Oreochromis niloticus: one gene and its partner. The protein of the gene in region 1 purifies or fractionates together with the protein of each later gene. This does not show direct contact. Links are inferred from orthologs where the notes say so. Each region holds a gene or a part of one and is shown in the gene's direction. Other genes may lie near its edges. The genes, in order: xrn2 and cdkn2aipnl.

Region 1 (16,070 bases):
TGGGGGCTAGTTCCTCAGGAAGAGTCATTTAGGGTTAGCTGGATAAAGGCATTGTGTATTCTTCCACTGTGCTTTAAGACAACAATCAGTCAGGTGTGAACAAATCATACATGTTGGGAATGATCATAACGCCAACCCTGCATGCATTTGTGCATTTGCATTTGCAACTAGTTTTCAAAACCAAGGACAGCTCTTCCCAAACTAGGCCAAAAACAGAGTGCTGCATTATTAAATTCCAGATGTGTTTGTATAGGTATCACGTGCACACATCTAAGAGGTTAATCCTGGTACCAACACAGCCTTTATCTGGTCTTCCGCGCACCATATCTTACATGTTTCCCACGTTATCAGATTAGGGTTTGGGCCTCTAAAAGAGATGGCAGATTCACAAATAAATGAATTTATTTCTGGACTACATGTCATTTGCTGTGGACGCACTTGTTCTTTAAAAACTGGTGTAATTAAAAATAATAGAATTCCTTTGTTGTCACTCTCCTAAAATAATAGCAATAAAATTAAGTTCTGAGATCTGTCCTGAAAAATAAAAAGTGTGAACATTCCTTCCACCTCAGGTGAAAAGACAACAAGAAAATGAGCCCTGAAGGCAACATCAGAGCCTTTTTGTTTGGATCCTCCAGCTGAAGTTGAACTTGTTTGTGTAACTGAAACTCAGTGAACAGATCAGCCCATCTGCAGCAGACAAGGGTTCCCTTTTGATAATGTGCAGTGAACTTCCATTAACAATAATTGAGTCCCACTCCACTGAGTCACTAACAGAGGGAGGAGGGGGAGGAGGAGGGAGAGAGAGAGTGTGTGTGTGTGTGTTGTTATTAAAATGCCTTCCTCTCTAATGTGCAGGTAAGGACCCCTCACCGTTGCATCTCACCAGGCTCGCTGCCAGGGCCGTCTCTCGCTTTTAAGTGAGCGCCTTAATTGAGACAAATTTAGCTCAATTAAACCGCTTTACCTCTGCCAAGAGCGTTTCAGAGCGGCGGAGCGGCCTTTTCAATTAGCTGCCGTGAGCAGATTCACCACTGATCCTGTGACTGTTTGGGTGTGTGGACTGTGAGAGCGCTGGAGCCCGCCGGAGTCACAGACCCGCTGCTGCTGCTGCTGCTGCTGCTGCTGCTGCTCCGTCAGCAGACCTGGGATGGCCATAATGGAGCTCAAGGACATTTTAACTCATTTAATAACACGAGTAAACAAACAGATATACAAAGGAATAAATAAACAAATACATTAGCAGATAAATGACCCAAAATTTTCAGAGTGGGGTTGTGCTGGCAGGCATTCAGGACCCCTCATTAACATGTGAGTTTTAAACCATGTTAGTGGGCTGGCGCTCACGGGGCACTGCTGCTCTGCTGACTGAAACATCTCAACTGACATTAATTTCTTAACAGACATTAATGGTTCCCAGAGGATGAAATGCACTCACATTTTCCTTTATAATAAACACTTATCAGTGTATTAAGTGGTATAATCAGACACTCAGTGGAAAGATTATGGGGCAAACCGCTGAACCGCGCAGACCAACTGCACCCACAGTCACAATCAGGATGATGTAAGAAACTTTCAGCAGCAAGTGTCACACGACTGACTCTTGATCTTTCCCTGTGACCTTGTTTTTTCTTTCTTATGGTGAGGACATCAGGGCATTGTCCGACGTGGACAAGTGTGACCAAACTGTGACAGAGAGAGGGATTCTGAAGGGATACACACAGCTGGGTATCCCACAGGCCAGGGAAGGTCAGTCACAGCCAAATGCCTCCAGAGGATAAGATAGGTGCTGAGAAACCAGCTCAGTGGTAGGAGTGGGATCCAGTCCACCCATAGATGGGATAATAAGCTGGCCACAGAAGGCGATAGACACCAAAGATGTCAACATTCACAACACTGGAGGGTCACCGATTGGTTTGTGAAGTCCTGCTGTGAAGATGAAGTTCTTACCTTTCTAAAAGCTGAAGTCACGAGTGTGGGGTGAATCTGACTGGCAAACCGAAGGACACCACGGGTTGGTAGCCAATGAACATACAGCAATTATCCTCCTCTCTGAGTCCAATGAGCATCATGTTTTACTCTCTGTGATCTTAAACTTGTAATTTGACCCATAAACTCATCAGAAAAGTGTTACCGAGGTCATAGAAGCAACTGTTTTCCCTTAGACCTCTTTACAATCAAATGTTTTTTGCTACCAGAGGAGTCGCCCCCTGCTGGCCATTCACCTTTAAGCTATGGACTCGACATCCATCTTACATGTCCAGCTTGTTATGTTCCCCGTCGTCATTTTTCCGGCCCTCCCTTCTTCGTTTTTTAAAGTAAATACTAACATCTAAATCTGAAATCCAGTTTCTTCCTTTTCCTGTTCAGAAACATCAGGACCAGCCCGTCATCGCTTCATGTCATGTTACGAGGAGGGTCTAACCTGAGGAAAGCGGGCTGTGCCTTTGTTGATGTGTTGTGAGTTCTAAATCACAACACATCAACACATCACAAATTGTGGGGCGGAGCCAAGAGGAAGCAGGCTTTAACAGAAGTCCAGATTTGTATATCCCACAGGTAGCAGGGATGGGAATGATGTAGTCTAGCCTCTTTGATTCTTTTAAAATTCTGGTGGCTGTATTTTTAAATAACTGGAGACGGACTTTTGGCTGTTTATGACGATCTTCACTATTAAAATAATGAAAAATTTCCATGCGGTACAAGAACTCAAACGTTCTTCCCACCGATGACCGTAACAGGCAAACAAATAATCAAACAGTAAAAGTAAAAATTCCGATAAAATAGGAGGAAATAAGATGCATAAAGCTGCCTGTGAGCGCTTCAGAGGAGATGAAAAACGGAAACCCGGCAGGTCTTTATTCCTGCAGCACAATGGGCAGAAACAGACTCAAAGAGGCTCAGATATGAAGAAGTGTGCGAGCCGCGGAGGACACATCACAACCTTGGAGACACAAATTGCTCCGTTGTACGATGTGAATTCCTGCTGAGCTTTTCATGAGTAGGCTAAAGGAATCAGCTAATCAAAGGCGCACTAACACGTCCAGCCAGTGTCTTTGGACCAACGCAACAGACCTTTTTTTTTGTCGCGCCTTTATTAAGCTTCTGTTTATCAGATCATATCTAATGTGTGCTGGAGAGTGAAAGTGTGAATTTAACACATGAAAACACAAATCAGCTTCTGGATCAGACGCTGAAAGCAGAGGCTGAATGAGATAAAATGATATTTGAATGTAAGTAGGACCTACAGCGACCTGGTGTGAAGTTCATGCTCAGACACTGCTGATTGTACCTTCAGACTCTGAGTGAGGTTCCAGTCTAAACGAGCAGAGGTCTTGTGTGGTGTGATCACTTTAGCTGTTTGTCTTTGAAGTGATTGTTCTAAAATAAAGTCTGTGCTTAAGGTGTTAACACAGCTTCAGAAATCACTTTAGGCTTTGGTAATGAACCGAGGTGCCAGCAGGGAGTTGTGGAAAAAAACACCGACACGTGGTCTGAAAAACACACAAACGACTGTGAACAGTTTTTAGTGTCTTTGTTTTTGTGTGTCCGCCTGGTTTTCTGAATCTTCTTTATCCATTTTCAACCTAAAAGTGGTTCTTCTGTGATTCTGTAATTATTTTGTCTTAAAAATTACTTCTACACCTCTTTTTAACCTCCTTCTGTCTTTTTGAGATCTTGTAATAGCCCTTTGTGGCTGTTTCAATCTCTGTTTTTTTTTTCATTTTATTTTCATAATTTTGCATTTTCCTTTCATTCTCCATCTCCTTGAGTGATTTTTTTGCCTTTATTGGTTATTTCTTCGCATTTGTCTATTTTTAAACATGAACTATTGGATATTTGGGTTCGTATGTACATCTCCATCAGAAAAGTCCACAACTCCAGTGCTGGTGTGGAAATGATTTTGTGATTTGTTTGCATCTCTTTGCTCCTTTTTTGTCTCTTTTTAGTTACTTTGCATCTCTCTGAAGTCTTGTGTAGCTCATGGTGTCATAGTGGTCTCTTTAAAGTCTCTTGTGTTTTGGTAATTTTGTAAGTAGACATCCTTTTACTGCCTCTGTTTGCAGTGATTTTACATCTTTATTCCTTTATTCATCTCTTTTTAGCTGCTTTGCTTCCTGTGTTTTCTTTTTGTGTCTCTTTGCAGCTGTTTGTGGTAAATTTCAGTAGTTTATGTCTCTTTTGTGGCTTTTTTTTTGCAACACTTCTTTCATCTTTTTGATAATTTTCTTCATTTTTTAGCAAAAAATTTAAACCACCACATCAGACAGAAGCTCTGGACCCGGGGAGCTTTGGTGAGAACAGTATTTTACACCAAATACATCAATGGGGCTTGTCTAAACATATGAATGAAATTAGTCTCAGAGTTGGTTTGAATTCATCCTTCAAGTTTTAGCTGCCTCTAATCCCAGTTTATAAATGTGCCATGTAGCATTATAATATAATAATGTAATGTCATAATCAAAAGTTAAAGAATGAAAGTGAAATTCACATACACAAACACGTGTTTGTTTGGCAAAAGGACACACGTTCTTCACTCGAGTGCAGCTGCAGATACTTGTGTTAGAAAAGCTCTGAAGCACTGAAGTACTGTTCCAACTCCTTTACCTAAATAAAACAAAAGTACAGGCTCTGAAATGTATTCAGCTTATAGAAGTAAGACGTAGCTCTTTGAAGGACATTCTACTTTTAATCATCAGCTGTTTTTATGCAAAATTTACCGACCACTGTGATTTTCTCTCCTAATTGTTGTTAAAAGTTTGTTTCTCTGTCACAAACATCTCTTTGATTTGTACTCGCGTTCCCTGCACATGTTAAAGTGCGTCTCTTGACCTGACTTTCTCCCCTCACCCCCAGCCAGTCGTGGCCCCTCGCTGAGCCTGGTTCTCGTGGGGATTTCTTCCTGTTAAAAGGGAGTTTTTCCTTCTCACTGTCACCAAGTGCTTACTCATAGGGGATCAACTGTTTGCATTACTGTATGATGTTCACCTTACAATAATCTGCACCACATCACAATACCGGTAACTTGTTCACTGTTGTTGTGATTTGGTGCTACATAAATGAAATAAAATTGAATTAAATAGAAACACATTTGTCCGAATGAGGCTCAAACTGTCTCAGATGAGAACTGCCAAACTGGTATTTTTCCAACATTCATTAATCGGACATAAACTTGTTCTCACAAAGTTTTATTTAATTTCACACATTTTTTGTCTTTGGTTCCCACTGATGAATGACTTCACTCAGTTCAGTTCAGTCAGTTTAATGGCCGTACTGGGAAATTTGGTTTGCAGATATGCTCTCATGAAATCCATCAACAATATAAAAAGAAGAAAAAACAATACATAACAAATACAGAAAATTAAATCCACATCCAAAAAACTCATAAGATATAATCCTCCAGTAAATATCAGTATAATTTAAAAAAAGGTACAGCTATCACAAATTGATTTTTTTTTTTTTAACACTATTGCATAGAAAATAAAGGAGTTTTTTTGTCCTGCCACATTTTACTCTTCATGTTCTGTATCTGCAGCCTGAAGCAAACAGTTCAAATTCTCTGTGCAGGGGTTCGGTCTGGCTCGTCACATCTTCGCCGGTCTTTTGCACTTCCTCCTGCTCATAAACAGCAGGTAGTGAGATCTGTAGGACTTTGCTCGAGTTTATCGTGTCCTCGGTTCTAACATTTCCAAAGCAGTCAGTAATGGAGAATATTAAAACAGAGTGATGCTTATAGCCTCTCTTTAAAACAGTATCTTGATGAGTGCCTTCATGTGACGCGTTTAGGGGACATCTGCAATCTAGCTTACACTCTTCCTGTGACAGCAATGCATAAAAACCCATCTGGCCTCAGGTTGCAGAGCATAGCTCATTCACAGAAGACACCTGCTATTTACAGCTACGACTAAAACGGATGCAGGACTGTTTTTGCTTTGTTTCTGTTGCTTAAATTAGTTGCAGCTGAGATTTTTAGAAGTGGTTCAATAACATAATTTCCCACTGCCTTGTTGTTTACTCTCTTATTTACCATTTTGATTAGGTGGAAGTACAGTTGTGAATATTCAGTGGAGTTTTTCAAACTGCACTCTTGGCTTATAATAAGCTAATTTCATTCACTGTTTTGACTGTACAGTTTTATAGCTCTTAATGACTGCATTTGGAGATGTAGAATAAGTTATACAGTAGAATTTCCAATTTTAATATGATGTAGAAAAGAAAAAAAGATGTTGAACAAAGGTAAATAATTATACGTGGACTTTTTACCTTGTTTTTACAAGGCACTGGGATTCATTTACAGAATTTCTGTTGTTGAATTTATGTGTTGGAAATCATCAAGGAACAATTATTTCAATTAACAATTTTTATGCATTGAGATTTCTGCAAAAGAAACACTGTCATCTGTCCGTTCACTTTCTGATGCTTATTGGAGTCCAGGTAGTGTGGGGAGCAGTATAAACTGAGAGGTCCAGGCCTCCCTCTACTCAGCCACCGCCTCCATCGAGGTGTTCCGAGACATGTGATCTCTCCAGCCTGTTCGTTTTATGTTTTCATGTCCCAGACCTCCTCTGTCAGACTCTCTGAGATTTAGCAGCAGCTGTTCCTCTAGAACAGCTGGAATAAGACAAAGTAAAGCTGAACCCTACTGTGAAGCTCCAAAAGAAAAGATTGGAAAAAATAATTACATATGCCCTTTTTTAAACATGCATTGGGATATAGAATCTTTACTGTTGAACCTGTAGTGTAAATAGCTTGATTAAATTTACTGTCCATGGACACATACAGGTTTTTCTGCATGATCAAGTCGAATTTCATCTAGATGTGATATCCAGATAACTCGGGCGATGATCCACCAGGTGAGGGCGCTCTTCCTCTTTCAGTCGCCTGCATGCGTGTGGAATATCAATCCAGAGAATCCCCTGAACAATCAGCTCACAGAGAGATGAGATAAAGACTGAACCTTCACGTTTCCATTTTTTTTCCAGCTCTTCGAATGAAACATATTTTTTTAACTTCTGAAATGCTTAAACTAAAACTTCTGCTGTGAGATTGTTTTGATAAACCAAAATTCCCACTTTATCTCAGCAGAACAACTTTATGGAAATCAGTCAAAGCCCAGAACGAGCGACCATTTGTCCATGAATTCAGCAACTCATCGTGTGCAGGTGCCGGAATGTATTCTTGTGTCATACTCCCGAGCTTCACCTCCGTGCGCTTTCACATCTGCCATTTGCATCAGATTTCACTTTATCTTCTCTATTTCTCTCCACAAACACTAAAACGACGCCTCCGTCCTATTACCTGCAGCTCCAGCGTAAATGTTTATGGAAATGGCTCGTCGGAGCAGGCCAAGTGTTTTCCATCAGCGGCTCTTTGCAGTAATAATACTGCAGTGTTGATGTCAGACCCACCCTGCCTGAAGAGGGGAGGCTAATGGCCCCTTTCCCCCGCTGCATGAACCAGTGAGGAGAGGAGGGAGGGTAGAAAAAATCTAATTCACCTTAAATGTGCTGCTGCAGGGCTGGGAAGCGAGAGGGCATCTGTTCAGAGAGTCCCCATTAAAGGAACATCATGTAAGATCAACCACAGCGCAATTATAGGGAATATGGACACGAGTGAGAGTCTGCGAGGATCACACCTCTCACACACCTGTTGGCTTTTGGTGGTTTCTTCACAGCACTGTTTACATTTCAGTCCCCACTTTTAACATGAAAACTCAACTATAGAAGTTATTATTATTATTATTATTATGTAATATTTTATATGAACAAAAACAGTGAGTGACAGTGCACATACCCCTCAGTGAAAGTACATGTTTATAACAATATTAAAATTAAAATTCATAATATGTGACAATAATATTAGAGTAGTATTTGCAATATCAAAATGCATAAATTTACATATAAGTCTGCTCAGTGTCTTAAACTTTACATTAGAAATTAAATATGAGTCATATTTGTTATGTATTTTGTGGCTGTGGTTTTCCTTCATTTTTATGTTGGTACACATATTTAAATTGATAGTAAATGTTTAAATATAAATTTAAAAAGCTTTTATTGATATCCTTAAACCATCCATAAACTCTGTCGTATAAGAGCTTATCAGTGTCTTGTAAGGTATCAATAAAAACATAGGATGTCATTATTAAAATTTGTTGTACAAAATGTTAGATTTTCAGCATGACCAAGTAAAGCATGTCTTATTTCATTTAATCTCCAAATCGTAAATAAACACAGCCATTAATACAAATGCACGACAAATAACATTCTAACATTTTACATCGCACATCTGATGATGTATTTGTGCTGTGAAATATACACAATATAAAATACAATAAACACATTTAACAGATAAAACAGATAACTGAACAAAACTAAATGTTTTATTTTGAAATATTAGAAATTATTAAATGTGTTTCTTAAAGTTGCTTATTTGTCATTTTCTCTGTGTTAAAAGTTTTAAAGTAAATTATTAATTCATTGACTGCATTAGAGAACTTTAGAAAATATGAACGTGTAGACAGTTTACAAAGTATAACAAAGAACAAACTGATAAACATGAGAAGAAATAACAACGGCTTATACTGATTTGATGTAAATGAAATTAAAAAGTAATAATTTTATAGAATTTTGATGCTTTTCTGCCTGAATATTCAATAAATTAACTGAGAACATCCTACAACTGTTTTGTAAAAATAAATAAATGAGACATTTTGAACAACAAAACAAAAAGCATGTGAATAAATAAATATAGAAATATAATAATAACAAATAGACTGATAAAGAACAGCAAAAAATTATGATCTGTGTGGCAACAGAAACTTATCGCTGACAAGCTTCAGAGACTTTCTCAGGAAGCAAAGATTGTTCAGGAGTTGATTTATACTCATGTTAATTTTAAAATACCTGAAGCTCTGCATATTAATATCCCTAATAACAAAAATAAAGTATTAAGGAGGAAATATAGATCCCAGTTTTCAACATTATATTCCACTTACATAAGTGGTGAATATAGTCCAGGAATAAATATTTAATTTATTAATTTATAATCCAGGTGAATCAGTTGTTTCCATTATCAGGACCGTTGGACGCCTGCAGTACCGTCTCTGACCCATGGGGTCACTGTGGAGTTGCGAGACTCTTCAGAATGCTCCGGAAATATTCGACATAAACCGGAAAAGGTACACAATGGCTACGGCCAGCAGCATGTAGCCAACGCATCTACAGTTACGATCTTGTTTTAATTAAGCTGTTTTAATCATTTCGTACTTGTTCGTATTTTAACCGTTGAAATAGAAACGACTGTTTACCGGAGATGGGAGTTCCGGCGTTTTTCCGTTGGCTGAGCCGAAAATATCCATCAATTATTGTGCACTGTGTGGAGGAAAAGGTGAGTGGTTAGCTTTGAAAGCTAGCAGCCTGTCCGAGGAACATTATCGGGAAGCTTTTTAATACTCTTCTCGCCCATTTGACTGCGTTTTAATCGCTGCACACAGCGGGTGAAATTACTACGGCAATGTGAAATGTTTTGGCGAGAGCGGAGACGATAAATAAATCAAAGTTCGTGCAGTCTGTGTTTACTTACACGTGACACTGTAAACAAAACTGCTGCTGTGTGAATGTTTGAAACGCACGCGGAACTTTAACCTGAGACAACAAACACACGAAGTGTTTGGATTCGTTGTTTTTGTATTGTTAAAATTAACAATAGTTATAATTATTTTACTGGTCTGCTGTTAAACAGTACTGTTGAAATGCGTTGAGCCACCCCTCGTTTCTTTATGTTTTGTTGCCAGGAAGCCAGAGTTTCTTTAAAAGTGCTCTTGAGCAGCTGTTCTCTAGGTTTTCTGAAGGTCTTTCAAGGTTTATCTTTGGACATTGGCTGCTTTTGCACTTTGTTTTCAATTCAGTCCTTGTACCTGAACATTTTCAATTTTTCTTCGTTAAGACTCTGAAGCAATCGCGCATAGAAGGAACCTAAGTCAAGGGATGGAGCAGAGTTTTCTACACATAATGGACAATTAAGCATAGATCCAATTTTGAATTGTATCTGTATGCTGTTTGTTACTCCAGCCTGTTACAAAAACAGATCATTTGTTCCTATGACTTTAGCTGAATCTGCAAATAAATGTTATATATCCTAGGCATTTTTTGCACTAACAAGCTGATTCACAAAGAGCTATTTGCCATAAACATTGCGTACAAAAGTAAAAAACTGTCTACAGCATACATATCCTACGTAATCACAAAGCTTTCTGACATCTGTGCTGTAACCTGACATGCATGTCTGTAGAAATGTCGCTAGGTTCTGTGTGAGTGCAGCTCACAACAGCTGAGGATGTATTTTTGTCCAGAGTTGCAGCTCTGTTGCAAATAAGGTTATTTTTTTGTTTCCTTTCATGTTAACAGGGGAAGGAGTGTAATGGAGTTCGTATTCCTGTTGATACAACAAAGCCAAACCCCAATGAGGTGGAATTTGACAATTTGTACTTGGACATGAATGGGATCATTCACCCCTGCACGCATCCAGAAGACAAGTAGGAACCGTTCTCAGTTTAATCTGGACATAAAAGACCGATCTTCTGTGTTTACAGCTCAGTTCATTTCTGATATAACAGAAACATACTCCCTGTGAGGTTTTTGTTTCCAGTGTAATTTATTTGGAAATTAATAATTTAATTGAAACAGTCTTTTTTTAAATTTGATATAATTATACAAATTTATACATATATAAAAGTTCATAAATTAAACCATACCAAGTCTTCACTTTGTCTCTTCCTCCACAGACCGGCTCCCAAAAACGAGGACGAAATGATGGTTGCCATCTTCGAGTACATTGACCGCCTGTTCAATATCGTGCGGCCGAGGAGAGTTCTCTACATGGCCATCGACGGAGTGGTAAGCTGCTGCCATTAACAGAAACGTGCAGCTTTTTTCACTGATGAGCATTTACAAGTTTTACTGTGAGTGAAGTAAACTTGTTTTCAGTGTTACGCCAATCTGACAGTAGCTTTGATGTAAACTAAAGTTAACTCTGCCCAGGCTCCGCGTGCCAAAATGAACCAGCAGCGCTCTCGACGGTTTCGTGCCTCCAAAGAAGGGGTCGAGTTGGTGGAGGAGAAGAGTCGCGTGAGAGAGGAGGTCATCCAGAAAGGTGTGTTTTATTTGCCTCTTTGACTGCTGGACTGAAAATATGGGCAATATATTTTAATGTCATATTCAAAACGCTGTAATGTTAAATGCGTCAAATTTGATGCATGGGGTTTTTGTAGGTTTTTGAGGGCTGTGCATCATCTGTGTGTATTTTTTCCCCAAAAAACCTAAATTAACTGATTTTTAAACAATAAATTGCAAAGAAATGGCAGATATACCAAATATGATCAAAATTAAACTTGCATATGCAAATTGATTAATTGATTGTTTGATTTTTTTTAATTATGAGAAGATTTATTAAACACTCCAGTTGAAAAAAAAAATCTTCTGCCAATTATTTCATAGTTCAGGCATTAAAGGGGAAAGATTAAACACTGTAGACACTGTAGACTGTAGACTTTTTTTTTTTAAACAGGAAGTTCATATTTAAAATTGTGTCCATCTCTCAGGGCACACGTGGAGACAGATTGTCATAGCACAGTCCTGCAGTCAGATCCTGAAGCAGCAGAAGTCCTTAATTAAAGATTCTCTAGGCAGTCTTTGAGATGAACATTAATAATGCAGCAAATATAAATTTGCCCTATACAGACAGTAGTGGAGCAGTGATATCCTGTGTGATGAGCTTTCCTTTTTAAAAAAAAATTTTGGTAAATAGTGTGGCGGCTTCCTCACTGTGAAACCTCCTCAGTTCTGTTTTTTTTTTTTTTTTGTTTGTTGTTTTTTAAACCCGATTTGATCAATTTCAGCTCAGTGTAAAAGTCTGCAGAGTTTTATTTCCCCTCTCTTTCTCTCTGTGCCCAGCTTGGATAGGGAATACAGCCACATGGGGGTAACTCCGCCCTCTAGTTTCTTCTCAGTATAATAAGATTTTTTTTTTTTCCATCTACAGGAGGTTATCTTCCTCCGGAGGAGATTAAAGAAAGGTTTGACAGCAACTGCATCACCCCAGTAAGTTTACTCCATCCAGTGAAATCTTGCCTAACGTTTATTTACTTGTAACAACGTAGTTACAGGATTTGTACTTGAATGGATGATTCAGTGACTTTTCTCTGCAGGGAACAGAGTTCATGGACAACCTGGCTCAGTGTCTGCGATATTACGTGGCCGAAAGACTCACCAACGATCCAGGATGGAAGAATATTGTTGTGAGTCTAATTTATGGCCAGATGTTACCTGTCCACAACTATTTCTTTTATAAAATAAAATGACTCAGTTTAATCATCCTTACTTTCCTCTTTTTTGTAGTTTTCAGCTCGTGGTATTTTGCATTTTCAGGCGCTAATCTTCAGTTTCTCTGTTATCCAGGTCTTCCTGTCTGATGCCAGCGTCCCAGGTGAAGGTGAACACAAGATTATGGACTTCATCAGGAGACAGAGAGGTACATGCATTAACACTCTGAGCAATTCCAATGATTTAATTAAAGGGACCTTTTATGATTATTTCACCTCCACATTTTTATGGTTGGCTTTAATGAAGAAGCTTTGCAATACTTAATGTTCAAAATAATCTTCATCTTTCACTGGGTCTTGGTGTAGTGCCTCAGTGTTTTAGGTCCTCCCTCTTTAAGCCAACTTTGTTCTGATTGGCTGTCGCTCCCAAACTGAAGGTTTGTGTCTGAGATGACCATATTAGGGATGTCTCATCTCGGTGACATTGCACAAAGTCAGCAGCAGGATAGATTGGAGCAGTCTGAAGCTGAGCTTTGACATATGTTGACCTCATTGTTTGAATCCTTGAAGCCATTTTTTATGTAAGATCGTGTTTGTGATAGAAGAAAAGAAAAAAGCACAGTAATTCCCCTTGAATGCAGCTGTACTGCAGAATCATAAATATAAAAAGCGAAAATATGGGATGCTTCTGAGTGGATTCATTTTAAGTACTCTGAACTGTAGTGACAGATTCACAGTTCAAAGTTAAAGTGCTGTTGATTATCAGGTTGACTCTTTTATCTTGAAGTCAAATTTGACAGGTGACCTTTGATGACCAAACATCAAGCACGAGTCTTCACTACACACACACACGCACGCACACACACACACACACACACACACACACACACACACACTCTGTCTGATCTTCTGTTGACTCGATGTTTATGGTCGACTCTTGCAGGTCAGCCCAACCATGACCCCAACACACATCACTGCCTGTGTGGAGCCGACGGTAAGCCTTCAGATTCGCCCTCTTAAAGTCAGGATAAGTGCTCTTAATAGAAGCCATTTACCTCCTCTGACCCAGCATATTCAAGAGATCTTGTTTTGCTGTCTGAATGACTAATTTATATTTTAACCAAGTAGTCCCCACTTTGACCGTGTGTTTTCGTTGCATGTCAGCTGACCTGATCATGCTGGGCCTGGCCACGCACGAGCCAAACTTCACGATCATCAGAGAGGAGTTTAAACCCAACAAACCGCGACCTTGCGGTCTCTGCGGACAGACGGGCCACGAGATCAAGGCCTGCCAGGGGATGCCCAGAGAGAAGCAGGGGCAGGTGAGAAACACGACTCTCAAGTTTACGTCCCTGTTAGCACTGCTGTCTGAAAAAAACAAAGCTTTAAAGCGTAGTTTGAAGATCCACGATTTGAGTGAAAGTCTTTGACTGGAACATTTGTTTGTGCACATTGCAAAATGAGCTGTGCATGGTTTCAGTGTAGGAGCTGTTTAAATGGGCCATGTTTGTTGTCCTACAGGAATTTTAACTGGAACCACCTCTCGACCGCGTTTGTGGTGCTTTTTGGAGCATTTTAGTAAAATTACCTGATAGTTGTACTATCACGCTGACCTAGAAGTTTGTGGTTTGGTTTTGCTGAATGAGATTTTAACATTTTATCAGTCTGTTATTATGCAATTAGCATGTTTCTATATCTTTGTTACGCCTGCACAGTTTACGGGTGAAGCTTTAAAACTTCATAATAACTTCATAATAACTTAGGACTCCACCTCTTGTCCAAATATGGTCATTTCTGGCTCAAAAAATACTGCTGAAAAATAATTGATGTTTGATGTCCCATTGCTGGCATTTGCCATTTAAAGTGCGCAGTATAAACTCTGTCAGCGGACTGAACCTATGTCTGTTTTACAGCATGATGAGTTTGCAAACACGATGCCGGCGGCTGAGCAGGAGTTCATATTCATCAGACTGTGTGTTCTGCGGGAGGTCAGTCACTCAAACTCAGCTTTCTTTCTTTTTAGTTGTTTATTTTAGGGTCAAAATCTCACCTTTTGTTCGCAAACATGAAATCGATCTAAAACGATCAAATTTATGTGATCCAACTGGAAGGGTTCAATGAGTTTTACAGAAACAAACCCAGTGTGTTGCCTTTGTGGTGCTTAAAATGATGGTTCCTAACCTCGGGCACCTGTGAAACAAGTTTGAGGAAGAGTAAGAATATGAAATAATGTTTTGAAAATTAGTTACATGTGTTTAATATATTCTGTTCAGTGATTTATAGGTCAGCTTTGCTGTAAGATTTCAGCCTTACCTTGAACATTTTCTTTGAATCATCAGCTTTTCTTTTTTTCTTAGAAGTAATCAAAGACGGACTGTAGAGGAATGTTCTGCCTCTATCTCTTATGAACAGCATTTGAACTTGAAAGCAGGAGCTAAAGTGTTGCTTCATTGATAAAATGACCTTCTCAATCATCTCCATTAATTCTTATGTTTTCTTTAGTACCTGGCCAGAGAGCTGACCATGGCCAGCCTGCCTTTTCCCTTCGACTTTGAGAGGAGTGTAGATGACTGGGTCTTTATGTGTTTCTTTGTTGGAAATGACTTCCTGCCACATCTTCCGTCCTTAGAAATCAGGTGAGCCTTAGTTCATCGTCCAAAAACTGCTTTATATAGTTCTTTCATCAGGGAATCAATCTGAAACATGCTGTTTAAATGTGGTGTCGATTCAGGAAGTGGTAACAGGGATGTCTGCAGTGAAAGGTTATTCAAGAACTTATTACGAAGCGCTGTCATAAGTTTACTTTTATAATACCCAGAATGTACATACAGTTACTCACCATGATGTAAAAGGGGAATCAGAGAAAACAGTAGGCTGACTTATTTAATTATTGGGTTACAAATAAGCCACAAATTTCTGTCTCCTCCAAGACTTTATTCGGGTGAATTGATTTTTATATTTTTATTCCTTATCTTATTAGAATCCATCCATGTTTTTTCACTTGATAAATAAATAATAAATTTCAAATAAATATAAAAAAATCAAGTGATTTAAATAATAGATTTAATGAAATATGTAAAAACATAATAATAATTAAAATATAAAAATGGGCAAATATGTAAACAACTGAAATGAATAAAATTAAAATTAACAAATGTCCTGGAGAGAGTATTTTATTTATGTATTTATTTATTATAGGCTGTAATTACAAAGCCACAAGTTCATCTCATAGCTAATCAACTGTCAGAAATGTTATATTAAGTGCTGTATCCACTGTATCTCTATTATTATCTTTATCGTGTTTTTCATACTCGTATTGTTTTAAAGCTTTTTATGCTGTTATTTGTTTGTGCAATATACAGAAGGTGGTTTTTTTTTCTGTTGTGTAAATAAAAATGAGATTTGTATGTTCAGTCTTCCTTCCCTATTAATGAAATGAAAGTTGAGGAGCTTATGTTTGCGTCTTCTTCTCATGGTGTTTTTTTGTTTTCCTCAGAGAGGGAGCGATAGATCGACTGGTCGGAATCTACAAAGACGTTGTTCACAAAACTGGAGTGAGTGTCATCATTTATCTGAGCTCTGCAGGCAGCTGTGTCCAGGGTTTTTCTTTTATCTCAGAGGTTTTAACCAATGCTGGAAGAAAAATGATATCATTGTTATATATAGATATAGGTATCATTGTTTTTGAACAATTGCACTTAATGTGTAGAGTCACCCTGTACATGCGTGTTTCTGCAGGGCTACCTGACAC
Region 2 (16,304 bases), on another chromosome or scaffold:
TGAGAACTTTTCTATGCACTTTGTTCAAACAAATGTTTTATCTTGGGTGTGCTCAAGACAATTTACCTTAAATCTGTTGTGTGTAGCAGCAATATTTCTATTAGATGAAACGTCATAGTGCAACCATATTAGCTAAGTTGTCTCTTTGATGCTGTGTGCATCTGAAATGCTAAAGAAGTAAATTTGTTTTAAAAAGAATCACCTTAAGGTATTTCAGAAACTTCATAGTCATATTTACTGGTTTACCATTGTTGCAAATCACGCATGGTCTCAGAGTTGCATATAAGTTTGGGACTCCTGTGTAATGTTTTTTGGGTTCAAATCCCGGATGAGCCCCCATTTATGTTAAACCCGACCCGATTTTAAATTATATAATAAGTTAGCTAAAATAGCTGTGCCTCCATGAAAGCCTGCCTCAGGTATGCCATTATTCACACCTGATTAGGTGTGGTCAATTAGCAATAGCTAATTTTGCACTTTTGCACTGCCACTGCAAAGAGATTAGGGGCTGCAGAGGGGCATAACACATGTAATACTGATTTGCATGTTTTAATGTCATTTCAGCATTGAGTTGTTTGTTCACTGCCTGTTTTACTTTGATAATTGGTTTCTCTTGTGCATTCCAATGTGTTTTCCATGCACCTCACATTCTTCTGTTCTGGTTTTGCTGGAATTCTGTATTTTACTTAGGACTTTTCATCAGCCACAGAAAAGGCTTAGCTTTTGTTGAAGAATCACCCTGTCTGCGTTGCATTTGGGTCCTCTCCACATTAAACAAAATACAGCTAGTTGTATAGGTTTACAGAACGTGGACCTGCTGCTAATACAGGCAGAAATAGATTAATATTCTAACATATAGTACTGCTTATCCTCTTACACTTTTACTTTTAAATAACCTTTATATGCAGGAAATAATTGCATATTGTAGTAAAGCTGACAAATGTAGAAAAAGCTAAAATAGTGTCGTAGCAGTTCTGATCTTATGTTCATCATGACTGTTAAATATTGGTATTTATTAACTTAATGCAGTAACATCTCTGTTTTGCAGGCTGGGGATTTTAAGATGGGGAAAGCCGATTGATTCGGGATTCTCTTTGACGAGGGAGAACCACCTCTTAACCGGATCACCTCCTTACCCCGAGGAGCTGCTCAGAGTTTTCAGTGTGCCAGAGGAGGAGATGATACACAACTTCTTTCATTTCAGCTGAGTTCACCTGTGTTAAAGCACAGGACCGGAAACCCCGACTTCTTCGGAGTGAACCAGACTATGCTGACTTATCTGACTAAAGCTAGCTAACAGGCTACAAACAAGAGGAAATTTGAGCCTCAGGAAATCCCAGAGACATGTTCCTGGATTATCAGTTTAACATGAGGAGCACTCTAATTATGGTGGTTACCGTTCTGTAAAATAGTTACTATTATTTTGTGAACACTTTATTCTTATTTTATTTTAAACGAAGAATCTTCAGAATATACTAATTTAAACTAACCTGTGGTAGTATTGCCTAGTGTGTCTTTCTCTCTTAAACCCCTCAAACTCGGACTCTGGTCCCACTAACATTTCTAATATTCTGCAAACCTCAGGTGCAATATGTTTGCATCTGCCAATAAATATTTGTATGTTGTGTATCTCTCTGTGCTTCGTCTGTGTCATTTTTCACTTGTGAAGATAGCTTAGACTTGTTTGAGTCTTCAGCTACTTTCATTTTCATTTATAAATGCTTTATAAGGCATAAATAGTCCTCTCTTTAGACGAGGTTACACAAAATACATAACAACTACTAACAGCTTGATGATTGTTAGACATGATAAATTATGTAATGAACATGTTACACATCAGGTTATTAATTAGGATCAACAATAAACTGTATTTAGAAACTACATGCTTTATAAATGGTGAATTAAGCACTTACTAATAAATAGTGCTTAATAGTGTGTCATTATAATAAGTTGTTACCCAGATTCTCCAGAAACATAGAAATATGTTTTCTATGTTACGTTGTGAATAAAATATAGATTTCTGAGATTCTGTTTTTATTTCTACTTTACACAGCGTCACAGCTTTTTGGGAATTTGGGTTAGAGACTTATGTGGTATGACATGAAGCATTTATACAGTGATCGGTGCAACAGTGACAGTTATTTTGGGAGCCGTCCTGTTGTCCATTATCTGTAGCAGGCTCAATGCCACGGAAAAAAACAAATGTACTGTCAGTTTTCAAAACTTATGCTTATTTAATTAAAGACAGTGACAGCCGCAGAGTCGTTTCCAAAAGCACAGAGTAGGCAAAAACAAAGAATCTGAGATATTTAATTGTTTTCATCACCTTGGGACTCTGGACTCTGTTTTGTATAAACTACTTTGCTGTCGTTTCTCTTTCTTGTCTTTGGACTTTTGTTTTTTTTTACGGGTAAAAGTCTTTAACAAAATATGTCTGTGCAGCTTGCTGGTAAAATCGCTGATTATCATCCACCTACCACAGTTACAACAAACAATAACAGCACACACTTGCACACACACACACGCACACACACAGCATCAGCCAACATTACACTATTTTTCCATGACATAGGTTGCATTTGATTTTCATAACCACATATTACGGAAAATAAGATCAATATGTGAATACTGAAGATGACAATGCTCCTCAGAAAGCAGCTGTGGGTTTGTGTTACCACAGAGTGCTTGTGTACACATATTACAGACATGCACACTATCACGGCCCCGCTATCCATGTCAACTGCAATTAGGCCAATAGATGTGTATGCACCCTGAATATTCTTTCTTTAATTTTGAAACACTAGGTCAGGATTCAGGACCTGAAATAGCTAGCAGGCCCTACTGTTCTGGCATCACTACATGTCAAGAGCACTACTTTTTAATTAGTCGGGGTCCCAGGGTGACAGACTGCATCTCTCGGGTCCCAAGCCTAAAATGTTTAAAGCACCCGTCGTGTGTGGGAAACTAAAGTCAATGCAATGTCAAGTGGAGCCTAATTCTGACATTCCTTCTCAAAAAGTAAACCCCTTTTTCAGTGAGTTTAAATTTCATAATCTTCATTTAAGTCAAATTTTAACATTATAGAAGTTGTTCTCTCATCTACTTGGAGTTGTATAAATGTGGCTCATTTATATATTTATTATTTTTATATTCAATTATTATCAATTCAATTTTATTTATGCAGCGCCAAATCACAACAGCAGTTGCCTCAAGGTAAGGTAGACCCTACAATGATACATACAGAGAAAAACCCAACAATCATATGACCCCCTATGAGCAAGCACTTTGGCGACAGTGGGAAGGAAAACCTCCCTTTTAGCAGGAAGAAACCTCCGGCAGATGGCTGATATATAGGCCATCTGCCTATATATATATATATACATAGGCAGATGGCCGCCTACATACATATATATATATGTGTGTGTATATATATTTGTATATCAGCAGGTATTAAAATACTGAGACAAGTCATCTTGACCATGTCCACGTGTCCTGTTGAGTTGCTGCCATGCGATCGACTGGTTAGACGTTTGTGTTAACAAGCAGCAGAGCAGATGTACCTGATCAAGTTAGACGAAAAGATGGTTCAGGAAACATCAACATTTGAGTTAAAATAACAGCAGACAGTAAACAGTGGCCTCAATGACACTAGCCGTAGTGATGTCACTTTTTCCCTTTCCAGATGGGCAAAAGGTAATTTCAGTGTTTATCGAAGGGATTCATGTCATTTGAGCAGAAACACATGATGTTTGTGGGTATTTGCCGTCACAGATGCTGCTTTTGTTTTCAAGCACCTTCCTTGGCGAATCGGGAGATAAGGCATGAAATTCAATAGATCAGTATTGGCCCCTTTATGATAACTCACTCGACTGCGTGCAGTTTCTGAAGGTTTAACTTTTGCTATGTTAATAAAGATCGAACAAACTTCCCCATGAGGTGTAAATCCACTGACACTTTAAGGAGAGGGTTAATTCTTCCTCACTGGCGCACCCCCAGGTCTCTGGCTGAAAGGCCTACCTGTTGTCTGTCTTTCCCCAATTACAGCATTCTCCTGAGTAAGCATACATTAGGTGACTCATCAAAAACGGCTGTCTGCCAGTGTTGGCTGGAACAGTGTATTATTTAAGCATCAGTGTATATTTCAAGCCGAGAGGGAGAGAGTGAAGCCATAAACTTAATGGGTTAGTTCACTCAATAAAGTGGTGACTTGTATGACTTGGAAGCCACCCAGAAATATAACATACCCCGGAGTGCTGCTGGTGGTTTTTCTGTGGGAATTCGAGAGGAGGTGAAAGTGGATCTGCATGTACTTGTGAGTTTTCTTGTCTATAGGACTCGAGGTACATCTGAAGAGGCTACACTCAGTATTTAATATGGGCGTTCAGATGCGTGCGTTATACATGTGCATTTATGAGGAAAAATCCCTCCTCAGTGCGCAGAGATTGTGTGTTTTTGTGTTGCAAACTTAGCAGGCAGATGGAAGATTAAGACAGCACCGTGTTCCTTTGGAGTTTGCTCATGCCTCCGTGTTCTTTTGTGATGGTGCGTGAAACACTCAGTTCGGAGCAGCAGGAGAATGCAGCCTGTCAAGACCAAGTTTTGCAACCACTTGAAGTAAACTGACACTGCGTGGAAATAGAATTGCAATGTTCAAGGCTCCACTGGAAACGAGGTGAAGATAAAACATCTGGGAGGCGTTTAAAAGGCAAATAAGGGGACTGTCAGAAATCATTTTCAACTTAGTTATTCAGCAAATAAAGCCAATAAACACAGCCAGTGCAACAGCTTGACTCATTCATCACAGAGTTTGTGTTTCTTTATTATTATTTTTGGTTGCTCAGATATTGGAATTCAGTTTTTTTGCTCTCTTTTATATGTGGCGCTAACCTTGAGAAACCCACCAAAAAAATCAGGCTAAAAAATAAATCCTGGCACTGGCTGCTTGATGATTTGACCTCCTTTAAATTAGGGTTAACTGAGCAGCCATGCGCAAGTGAAACGACTGCAAAGAGCAGCCTGGCCTTTGATAAGTGCCTATAGTGTTCACTGCACTTCACAAGGTCCTTACCTTCACATAAAGATGACTCCATATTTCTTCTTCTTCTTCCCCACATCTTTTATCAGCTTCTCATCAGTGTTTCCGTCACATTAAATAAAATCCTGTCTGGTTCTGCACAGACGTTATTTCATGTTTGCATGTCTGAGTTTTGTTCCAACCTGCTCGGCCTGTTAGTCCCTTTAGATTGTGTCTCTCCGGCGTTCCTACGAGACAAATCTCATATGCTTTAGATGTTTACATAACCGGATACTCTTGGTGTGTGTGTCTTCTATAAATATTTGCCTGCCTATTGCATTCAGCCTTATAAAATTACATAACAACAATAATGGAAAACAAATGTATCGTTTTTCACTTTTCACTGTTTATCTTCTCAATCAATTCCAACTTGCAACTTCTCTTTGTGGTCATTTTTGCAGCCCTTAAGCCACATTTCAAATATATTGATTATTTATTACCATGCAGAGCATAAAGCTACTCGGACCAAACCCTTTAATCTCACTGTTATTAGCTGGATTTCGCTGTGCTCTGAAACGCAGCGACTGAGCAGTGTGCTTGTCTGTCTGTCCCTCTGAATTCATGTTGGCTTGCCTTTCTCTGGAATCCCTCTGCATATCAATGACTTCATGTCAAAACAAGCCCCAAATCCTCTGCTGTGAGCGAGTGAGAGCGTCATAAGGATGGAAGAGTCTTGTAGGCTTATGCAGCGCACATATCTGTGCAGACAGAGGGAAATGGAGACTGCGTGTGTGTGTCCCTGTGTGTGTTTGAGTATATCTGTGAGCCTGAATGACTGCCCATAAGCTCCTTTCCATAGACTGGAGGTCCAGTGTTTCTCTCTGATCATTCCTGGCAGGCTGGTCAAGTGCATAGAGATTTCACTCAAGTAAGAAGGAAAAAAAAACATGAAAGCGAGTGAGCGAGCATGTGGTGCAAACATTTCATTGACACACTACCTGCTCCGTGAATTTCAAACATGGAAAGACGGCACAGAAGGGGGGGGGAAGAAGCCCCGGGAAGCCTAAAGCTGTGTTGGCCCAACTACAGTCTACAGTCAGCTAATGTGGCTTCTTGGCAGCCGTTAAAGGCGGTGAGTGGCTCTCCTTAAATTTTGAGACTGCTGCACGTAAAAAGCAAAAACACGGATTCAATTAACATTATGGATGGCTTCGTTTCATTCATGCAAATCAGTGTCAGGGTCCAGGAATTACCACTTAACACGGAACACAGACTTATCCTTGGAAGTGATCTCATCTGCTTTGATAAGTCAGATGATTAGAAGAAATGCGAAGAAAAGCATTCCTGCCATGTAAGTGAATTCTTTTAATCACACTACACTCAGACCTCAGTAAATGTTCAGAGTTTTAAAAAATAATACTTTAATAAATGCTAACTTATTCTGTGCTTTAACAAAAAAAAATTAAAATATTTTTCCAACAAATTTAACAAAGAAATCTCATTTATATCTGCAGTCCCTGGGTGGAGTCTTTCAATAAACGAAATATTCAATACTTTTTTAAAAATAAAATAAAATAAAAAACAAGTAATAGTCAGAAAACAGTCATTTTCTGAGCTAAGATGAGGTGTTATGTTGTAGATTGAAGTACCAAAGATAAGTTTGAACATTTCTTAAAGCAATATTAAAACCAATAAAATCGTAATGACACTGTTTCAGTTTTTAAAAAGTAAAAAAATAACGTTGAAAAAATGATGTTTTATTTATATTATATATAATAAAATGTTTTTAAATATGTGTACATGGCAAGGCTACATTTACTAAGCCATGTCAAATTCTGTTTTTGCTCTTGTTGTTTTTGATTTTAGTTGTTACAGTATAATTTACTATATTATTACTTAATTACAAAAATCTGGAATAAATAAATAAATGCAGGAATTGAAACATGAGGTATAAAGGTGTCCTGTATCTGACCTTGAGGCAGAATGACTGAATACATGTAAGAGAAAGCTCTCTAGATTACCTGAGAGGGCTAACAATTACTGTGCATTACTGCCTGACTGTAGAGGGCCAAGAGTCCCAGAATGCAATAAATAAATATAAAATCAAACAATTAATTAAATGCATCGATAACAAATTTTAATTTGAAATAAACTTTGATAACTTGCCAGAGTGGTTATAAAACTGTATATATTTTAAAAGAACACAGGTAATTACATCTCTTTTTTTTCATTGTAAATACTAATCACCTGATGTCATCAGTTATGCTGCTGGCGCACTGTAAGCTGTGTCTTCTGCCCTCAGAAGTCTGGACTTCTGAGTGTACTTGCCAAGTGGGAAGTAACAAGTGTGCAAGTACAAACTCTGTGTACTTGTCACTGAGAAACACCCACTGAAAGAAACAACTCCACACCAAAACAGTGGGTTTAACTAGATCGGCTTTAGCCCCACTCCCCGAGGTGACGTTGACACAATAAATTCATGAACCATAAAATAATCAATTAAATGGTAAAATAATAAAATTAATTTTTTTAAATAAAATGAATTTATATGTTAATTTATTAATTAATTATTTCTTAATTATTGCACTCCATAGTATCTCTGAAGCACACTGCATATGAAATATTGAGAGTTCCTGTTCACATTTGGATGTAAACCACCGCTCTGCTCCACCACTGCGTGGCGCTGTGTAAAACAAGCAGGGCTGTAAGACGACTTCAAAGACCCGCTTGAAAGGACAGGAAGTCGCTTTTGTTGTCTTGGCCGAGGGAGAGCAAGATGTCTTCCCTGGACGTTCAGGATTTTATCCAACAAAACAGAGCTGTGGCCGAGCAGGTGGAGACATACAGAGGCTACTGGGAGAGCGACAAGCACTGGGAGCCCAGGCGGGAGTTCATCCTGCGGAACTTGAACGACTTTGAAGACTCGCAGCTGGACCACCTGCTCTCCCTCTCCATGGTGTGGGCCAACAACGTCTTCCTCGGCTGTCGGTGGGTAAACACAGCGTGCTTTCATGCCTCTAATTAAAGCCTGCTGACGGACACTTTTTCTAAGACAGCCGCTCCACAGCTCCCACAGCCCGGGATGACTAACCACTGTTTTTAAGTTTCGTCTTCCTTATTAAACAGACTAAAGGGTTGCTAAAGGGTAACAACCAGTGTTCTCTTTTCTCTGAAATTATTAGTTTGATTTTAGATATAGTATTTACTTACTTACTTATTATTATTGTTGTTGTTCCTGCTGCTTACTTACTATTTATTTACAAACTATTTAGAGATTTAGAGTTTATTGTTTATAGTGAGGTTTATTTTCCGCTGGTGGGCTCGCTGCTGCCCCCTGCAGCACTGGAGTCGTCTGCATCAGCTGCAATGCTACTCTGCTACATTTGCTGCAGATGATGCTGAGTTTGTAAAGATTTGTAAAGATGTCCTGCTGGATAAATTACGTGGTTATACTTTTTTTTTAATGGCCCTAAAATTCCTTTTTCTCTATTATGGTTCAGGGAAAAAATATAATGTATGTATAATGGAAATATCAATGCAATATTGCATTTATATCAGTATATCAGATGTTTGTGCCTGCTACTGGACAACATCCAGTCTTTCTTCACTGGAAAAACAGTCTTTGGTTATCAAGTGGGTCTCTGTCTTTGTTTTCAATTTTACCCTATTTTTGTTACTGTTTGTGGTGGCACCTTATGTTTTTATATATGGTGTATATGGTAAAAATTCTGCTACATAAGAAATTGAAACCCTAAGATTTAGCGATCCTCTAACCTCAAGCACTTGGCCAAAGTTGAGGGGGAAATCTGCCCTTAAAAATCTCCTCTGACTGTTTGCAGTGTGAGTCCAAGGAGAAATAAAAGGACACAGTGTTGTGAAAAACTATTTAAAATGAGAAGTGATTTCTTGATTCAAAAGGTCTGGTAGTATTCAGGTCTGGGTAACCCACATAAGTTCCTCATCCATTGGACCCTCACTCTCCAAACTCATGTTGAGACTGTGCGGGCAGATATAGCTAACCTTGCAACAGCAATCCCAGAGAAGCTAGACTACCTGTGCAATGTGAATGGGCTTCATGGTTCTGCCTCACGCTACTAGCAATTACATGGATGTTAGCAAAAAGCAGAACTAGGGTGGGCTGTCTTTTTGTTGCCTCTCCAGTGCACATGTCACTTTATTTTGCAACAAAGCAGGTTTCTTCTTCCTGACCAGATTGATTTACTGACATTTGTGATATACTGTGATTATGAAATGTATGCCTGACTTGATATGAATGTTTTGGACTCTTAGACAGAATCGTTTTTTTTGTTTTTCCAGTTATTTAAAAAAAAAAATCTTTATTTTTTGTTACACACCAAACAACTTAACAGATCGACTTGTCATTGTAGTAATCTGTAATTGCAGCCACTGGGGTCTGCGACTGGTATTAGCTTTTGGACAGCAATAAACCCACAAAATTGGATTTTCATTTCAGTGAGTTTGAGGGCACTCGAGGAGCAGCGCTGGCTGTTGAAGTGCATATTGGATGGCTTCTGTGATTACACCTTCTAAAAGACATTAACCCTCGGAATTGGTATAGGGTGCAATCATGCAAAAATGGCAGATAAAAGGATATCACTATTTCGTCATCCATAAGTTTGCACTCAAATGTGAATCAGAAGCAGGACTAAATTTCATTTATATGAAGGGAAATGTGTAGGAGGTGAAGAAATCATTCACATTTGTTAACTTTATCGAAGAATAAACAATTCTTCTCTTACCAGTATTATAGTTTTCTGTTGTTCAGTGATGTTATTTTCCCAGTGCACTATATTCTTACAGAAGAATATAAAGCACACAGATGAGTTACGGTTTAATGAAGTGTTATGTCTCATAATCGATGGCAGGTATAGCACAGAGCTGCTGGAAAAAGTGAAGGAAATGGCTGAAGGCATCGTAGTGGAGGACGCGCCGGTCTTCAAGACGAGAGATGAGATCGTTAAGAAGCAACAGGTATGTCTGTGAACACACACACACACACACACACACACACACACACACACACACACACACATACAGCTATAATGACAGTCTTTGTTAATGGATCTCTCTGCTCTGTCACAGGGTCGATGACTGGACCAGTCATGCTGGATCAACACAGACTGGATTCAGCTTTTATCAAGTCAGACTGTTTGGTTTTTAAAAAAAATTTTTTTAATAGTTTTACAATCCTGGTGTTTTTAATAGTCGTGAGGAGTTCAGACATCAAAAGACATTTTTATTTTGAGCGAAAAAACTGGCCTCTTCAGACTTTTAGCCTTTTTATTTGTGCACAAACAGCAGTGGTGTCTGCGGGAGTTTGTGAGCCCCACTGCTCAAGTATTTCAATCAGTTTAACTTTTTTAAAACATGTGTTTTTTAAATGTAACTTCAAACTAAAGATGACACTGATGTTCTTGTCTGAAGCACAATAAAGAACTTGTTTTTATCATTTTTGTGTTGTCATTGCTGTCTGTGCCCCCTCCTGGTCACATTGTTTCAACTACATTATGGAGCCACTCCATAGTTAATCATACACGGCAATAAAATACAAATACTACTACTTATAACTATGTCTGCTCAACGAGCTCCGACATGTAGAAAAGTGAACTTTAGTTAAAAGTAAAGCTACAGAGGTTAACATAAAAGCTGTTAACTTACTCTGGCACGGTGTGTTGGCAGCTGTCCTATTTTACATGGCAGCAATACCTGCAGCAAGCAGGGGTGACTTTAAAGGGTGCACTAGACCATATTTACTTCAAAGCTTTAGCAATATATTTTGCAGATTTCTCTAAATACATTTAATCAATATAATGTTTCAAAATATGAAATAAAAGTATAAAAAATAAAAATATGAAAATAAAAGCTTTTTTGGAGACCAGTGAAAATATAGGTCAGTAAAACTCTTGAGCAGCTGGCCTGGGGCTGTGAGGCTGGACACTCAATTATTATTAACATTAATTATTAACATGTGCGCCGTCAGAACGTCTGTTTTCTTCAGCAGGAAGCGTTGCAAAAGCACAGGGCAAGCCTCAGCTTTGAGAATGCTGATATGACTGCTTCGCTTCATTGCAACCACCACATTCTCCTTTAAAGGCTTACAGACACTCATACCAAGTGATTCACAAGCAAAGTTAAACACGCAGACATGCACTCAACAAACTGACTTCATCCCACAGATTCAATACTGTGAGAACTGTTTTTTAGTTCTACTAATATAAGAAAGCTTCCCAAGGGACTTTTTCACCTTAAGCCACAGTTTAGTGGCTTAACATTAACATTTTTGGACATTACTGTACTTGTGATTCATTTCTGCATTTAATAAAATTGATTTAATTGCCACACAAATACAATGAATGGATTTAGTTTTTGGCAATATTTACTATTGCTCATTAATAACAGTACATCTTATAGATTAATCAATCACTGCAGTACTAATCTCAAGTTTTGACGAAGCTTGCATTGATTTTGGGACGAGAAGCGTAAAGACAGAGGCTCAGCAAACATCAGTTTTCAGTTTCAGTTTTCAGTTTTATTTGTCATATGCAAGTTAGCACAGGGTCAACATCGCAATGAAATGTGTTTGACGAGCAGCGGTCTCTCAGCAGCATGATACAGTAGGAAAAAATATAATAAAATATAATATAATAAAATAAAATAACAGATAGAAAAATAGTAAAGAACAAAATATTAGAGAGACATGGTAAAAGAGAAAAGATGACTAAATATATATGTATCTATAAATATAAATATATGTACACTAGTGATTAAATAAGAAAATCTTGAAAAGAAATATGACGGGAGGGCAGATGGGATATTGCACAGGAATGAGCAGCAGAAATTTACAGTATTGCACTTTTTAAATATAAATTACAATAACAATAAAGTGAAGTGACCAGTGCAGATTAATCAGAGTACTTGTGAAGCTGCAGGGTAGCTTCTGAGTGCTGTGTTGTGTGTGTTTAAGTGTTGTGGTTGAGGTGTCGTATGGCTTGATGGTAGAAACTGTTTTTAAGTCTTGTAGTCCGAGCAGACAGACTCCTGTAACGTCTGCCAGATGGTAACAAGGAGAACAGCTGATGTGCTGGGTGGCTGTGGTCCTTGATGATGCTGTGTGCTTTACGGAGGCATCGCTGGTGATAAATGTCCTGAATGGCAGGAAGCCTCGTGCCAGTGATGTGCTCTGCTGCCTTCACCACCCTCTGTAGTGATCTACGGCTGCCGGCAGAGCAGCTTCCGTACCAAACTGTGATGCAGCTCGTCAGCAAGCTCTCAATTGCACACCTGTAGAAATTTGAGATGATGCTGGCGTTCATGCCAAACCTCCTCAGCCTCCTCAGGAAGTAAAGCCGCTGGCGAGCTTTCCTGATAGCAGTGTCTGTGTGAAGGGTCCAGGAGAAGTCCTCAGTGATGTTGACTCCAAGGAACTTGAAGCTGCTGACCCTTTCGACCTTGACACCGTTGATGTGGATGGGCTGGTGTTCCCTGACTGGTCGTTTCCGGTAGTCCACTATCATTTCTCTAGTTTTGCTGATGTTGAGAGTCAGGTTATTTTCCAGGCACCACTCGTACAGTGCCATCACCTCCTCTCTATAGGCCGTCTCATCGTTGTCTGTGATGAGGCCTATGATGGTTGTGTCATCAGCAAACTTGATGATGATGTTGGACTCATGTTTAGCAACACAGTCGTGTGTGAACAGGGAATATAGGAGGGGGCTAAGCACACAACCCTGGGGCGTACCTGTGTTAAGGATGAGTGATGAGGAAGTGTGCTTACCAACTCTCACCACCTGGGGCCTGTTTGTGAGGAAGTTTAGAATCCATCTGCAGATCGGTGTTCCCAGCCCAAGGTCGACGAGCTTCGTGGCAAGTTTTGAGGGGATGATGGTGTTAAATGCCGAGCTGTAGTCGATGAAGAGCATTCTTGCATATGTATTCCCTTTCTCCAGGTGGGTGAGGGTGGTGTGTGTTGCCAGGGCGATGGCATCCTCTGTGGCTCTGTTTGTCCGATAGGCAAACTGAAGAGGGTCCAGTGTGTCAGGGAGGGAGGAGCAGATGTGACCTTTGACCAGCCGCTCCAGGCACTTCATGATGACGGATGTCAGTGCAACAGGACGGTAGTCATTCAGACAGGAGACCACTGATTTTTTGGGAACGGGAATGATGGTGGATGCTTTGAGGGACGTGGGGACCACTGACTGCCTCAGGGAGAGGTTGAAGATGTTGGTGAACACCTCTGCCAGCTCGTCTGCACACACTCTGAGTAGCCGGCCTGGGATGCCGTCCGGTCCTGGAGCTTTGTGAGGATTGACCTTTTTAAAGGTCCATCTCACAGCTTCTGTTTTCAGAGTTAAAGTTGCAGCCTCACTGTCCTCCTGAGGGTAGAGGATCTGCTCTCTGTTGTCTGCATCAAAACGAGCATAGAAGTTGTTAAGCTCGTCTGCGAGAGATGCAGTGGGCTGGACACTGACTGTGTTGACCTTCTTGTAGTCAGTGATGCAGCGCAGTCCATTCCACAGTCGCCTGGTGTCAAAGCTGTGGTAGCTGGACTCCATTTTGTCCCTGTAGTCCTTTCTGGCCTTTTTTATGGACTTACGGAGGTCATACCTGGCTGCTTTATATGCATCAGCATCCCCGGAGTTAAAGGCAGAGGTCCGCACTTTTAGCTTGGCGCGAACGTCTTTATTTACCCAGGGTTTCTGATTTGGGTATATGCGGACAGTGGTTTTTGTGATGATATCATCCATGCACTTTCCAATATATCCAATGACAGAGTCTGTGAGTTCATTGATGTTGCCATCAGCTGCATCCACAAATATCTGCCAGTCAGTTGTCTCAAAGCAGTCCTGCAGGACCTCCTCAGCCTCACTGTCCCATTTGTAAATAACCCTGGAAGCTGGTTTTTCCTGTTTTAGTCTTTGTCTGTATGCAGGCAGCAGCAGAATGGAACAATGGTCTGCCTTACCAAAAGCTGGGCGGGGGAGGGGTTTGTAGCACTCTTTGAATGGAGTGTAACAATGGTCCAGTGTTTGATCACCTCTTGTGGGGAAGGAGATGTGCTGATAGTATTTGGGGAGAACCTTCTTCATGTTGGCTCTGTTGAAGTCTCCCAGCACAATAAAGGCAGCTTCTGGATTTTTGTTCTCAAGTCCAGTGATGATGTCATACAGTTCGTCCATAGCCGTAGCTTTATCAGCGTGTGGTGGAATGTAAACAGCTGAGAGGAGAACTGAGCTGAACTCCCTCGGGAGGTAAAAAGGCCTGACTTTAATGGTCAGCAGCTCGAGGCTCTGAGAGCAGTAAGTTTTTAAGATACACACATCTCTAGCCCACAAGGAGTTAACCATAAAGCACACCCCTCCTCCCCTTTTCTTGCCTGAGTCCTTCGTTCGGTCTCCCCGGTAAACAGTGAATCCATCCGGCGTGATGGCGCAGTCGGGGACGCTGGGCTCCAGCCATGTCTCTGTGAAGGCCAGAACGCAGCAGTTCCTGATGTCTTGTTGGTGTTTAATCCGTGCACGCAGCTCGTCAAGTTTGTTGTCCAGAGACTGGAGATTCGCGAGCAGGATGCTGGGGAGAGGTGGCTTGCTGTTTCTCTGTCGCGTTCGGCACAAAACTCCGGCGCGTTTCCCCCTCTTTGTTTTCCCTCGACGTCGCGCGAGTAAACAAAGGATCCCAGGCAGCAGAGCGTCCACGGAGTCGAAACCTGCTGTAAAGTCCGAACTGGCTGACGAACGTAGCTCCAGAAGCGTTTGTCTGTCATACCGAGTGTATGATCGCGCTGTGCGCACAGTAATAGAAAGCAGAACAAAATAAATAATAACATTTTTGCTGAGATGACTGGGAGCTCTCGTTGGTGCAGCCATCTTACGGCGCAACCGGATACAAACATGGCAGAAATGTTGCAATACCTTGCTTTAACTAAGTTACATGACAATATGAAAAACTACAAAACTCAGTGTAATAGTTCCACCCTATAGTTAATTATGAGACCGGTTGTCGGCATCTTCGCATTAACCCTGTGGGTCCAGGTTACCTGTGTCACCTGGAATTAACCCAGCCTGGTTAAGCGCATAAGGAACCGGATGGATGAATAAATCACCAGAACCCGTGTCAAAGTCTGAAAAATGTGTTTTTTTTATTATGTTTATACAGCATATCGTTAAGTATACATTATGTTTAATTCACAAAATTGTTTTTTATAACATATCCCTTCTGCTTATTGGGTGAGATAAGTCACAAGCCACAATATAACCTTTATTATCAAGGAAAAGAGGAATTCTGGTTTATGATGACTGATTACTTAGCTGGAGTCGGGCAGGATTAAGTCAGTAATTTACAGTTGAGGGGTGGCATTTTTAAATGGGGGAATAAGAGCAAATAAAACGGTGGGCAAAAAGCAGGCATGAAAACAACTTGAGCCCTTAGGAAAACAGTTGACATCACACTCTTGGAACAGGCTTCATGATCTTTGCAGCAGTTTGTTCTTATCCAATCAATTCTCTTATGCCCAAAATTATAGGGAAAAAAAGAAAGTATGAAGTGGAGCACCCTGCTTTCATCCTCTGCTTATTTGCTAATTCAGATGTCAGCTGTGTCATTTTTAAGAGAAAGAACAAAAGCACCGACTGTGTTCAGGCTGACACATGTCACAGGCGACAAAGCATTCAGAAGTCATTTACTTTCTTTGGCAAACTAAATGAGAAAAACCAAGAGAACAGTTTGACTGCAAACAGTAAAAAGGTTCAATAAATAGAAAAAAGCAGACTAAAGAAAAACACGATGTAGAAACAGAGTTCCTCCAGCAATGCCAATTCTGTCCCCCCAACCCCCCACATCGAATGATACAGCGACACCACCCACATCTGAACTCGCTGGCTAAGGGCCATCAGGCTCTACATATATTTTGATTATAGCATTATATGCAGTTTCTAATATACCAAAGAATGAAACTGTCGGGGACTGCAGAGCCTCAGTCCAAGTTCTTCATGTTAATATTCACTTTCTCATAACCCTCTCAAACAACCTTCTTCTACCCGGGAGCAGAAATGATTAAAAGAAAAGCTCAGAGATTGCCAGTCATGATTCATCAGTGCAAGGGAGACTTGGCACTGCTGCAGCCTGTGACGTCTGCGAGCCCAAACCTACAGCATCTCTTAAAATAAACAGAGATATGCTGGAAGAGATCAGGGACTGCTCTTTATCAGCTGAATCTGCTGTCGACTTCAAAGATGACGATGATGGTGATGATGCTACCGATTCTGGCTTTTCC

The links.
Region 2: the proteins of xrn2 (region 1) and cdkn2aipnl purify together in Homo sapiens (co-immunoprecipitation; 6 studies listed by BioGRID and IntAct, with this or other methods). This does not show direct contact. The link is inferred for Oreochromis niloticus from reciprocal best matches to the Homo sapiens genes XRN2 and CDKN2AIPNL.

What each region holds. Positions count from the first base shown.
Region 1 is NC_031980.2:23,313,541-23,329,610, reverse strand, and holds the start of xrn2 (5'-3' exoribonuclease 2), read left to right. Parts: upstream 1-9,157; 5' UTR 9,158-9,312; coding exon 9,313-9,387; intron 9,388-10,406; coding exon 10,407-10,534; intron 10,535-10,783; coding exon 10,784-10,895; intron 10,896-11,039; coding exon 11,040-11,151; intron 11,152-12,039; coding exon 12,040-12,098; intron 12,099-12,205; coding exon 12,206-12,295; intron 12,296-12,455; coding exon 12,456-12,528; intron 12,529-13,262; coding exon 13,263-13,313; intron 13,314-13,483; coding exon 13,484-13,641; intron 13,642-14,232; coding exon 14,233-14,307; intron 14,308-14,821; coding exon 14,822-14,955; intron 14,956-15,815; coding exon 15,816-15,873; intron 15,874-16,057; coding exon 16,058-16,070. UniProt on the Homo sapiens protein: Possesses 5'->3' exoribonuclease activity. May promote the termination of transcription by RNA polymerase II.
Region 2 is NC_031975.2:22,883,013-22,899,316, reverse strand, and holds cdkn2aipnl (CDKN2AIP N-terminal-like protein), read left to right. Parts: upstream 1-7,752; 5' UTR 7,753-7,790; coding exon 7,791-8,002; intron 8,003-9,900; coding exon 9,901-10,006; intron 10,007-10,117; coding exon 10,118-10,126; 3' UTR 10,127-10,484; downstream 10,485-16,304.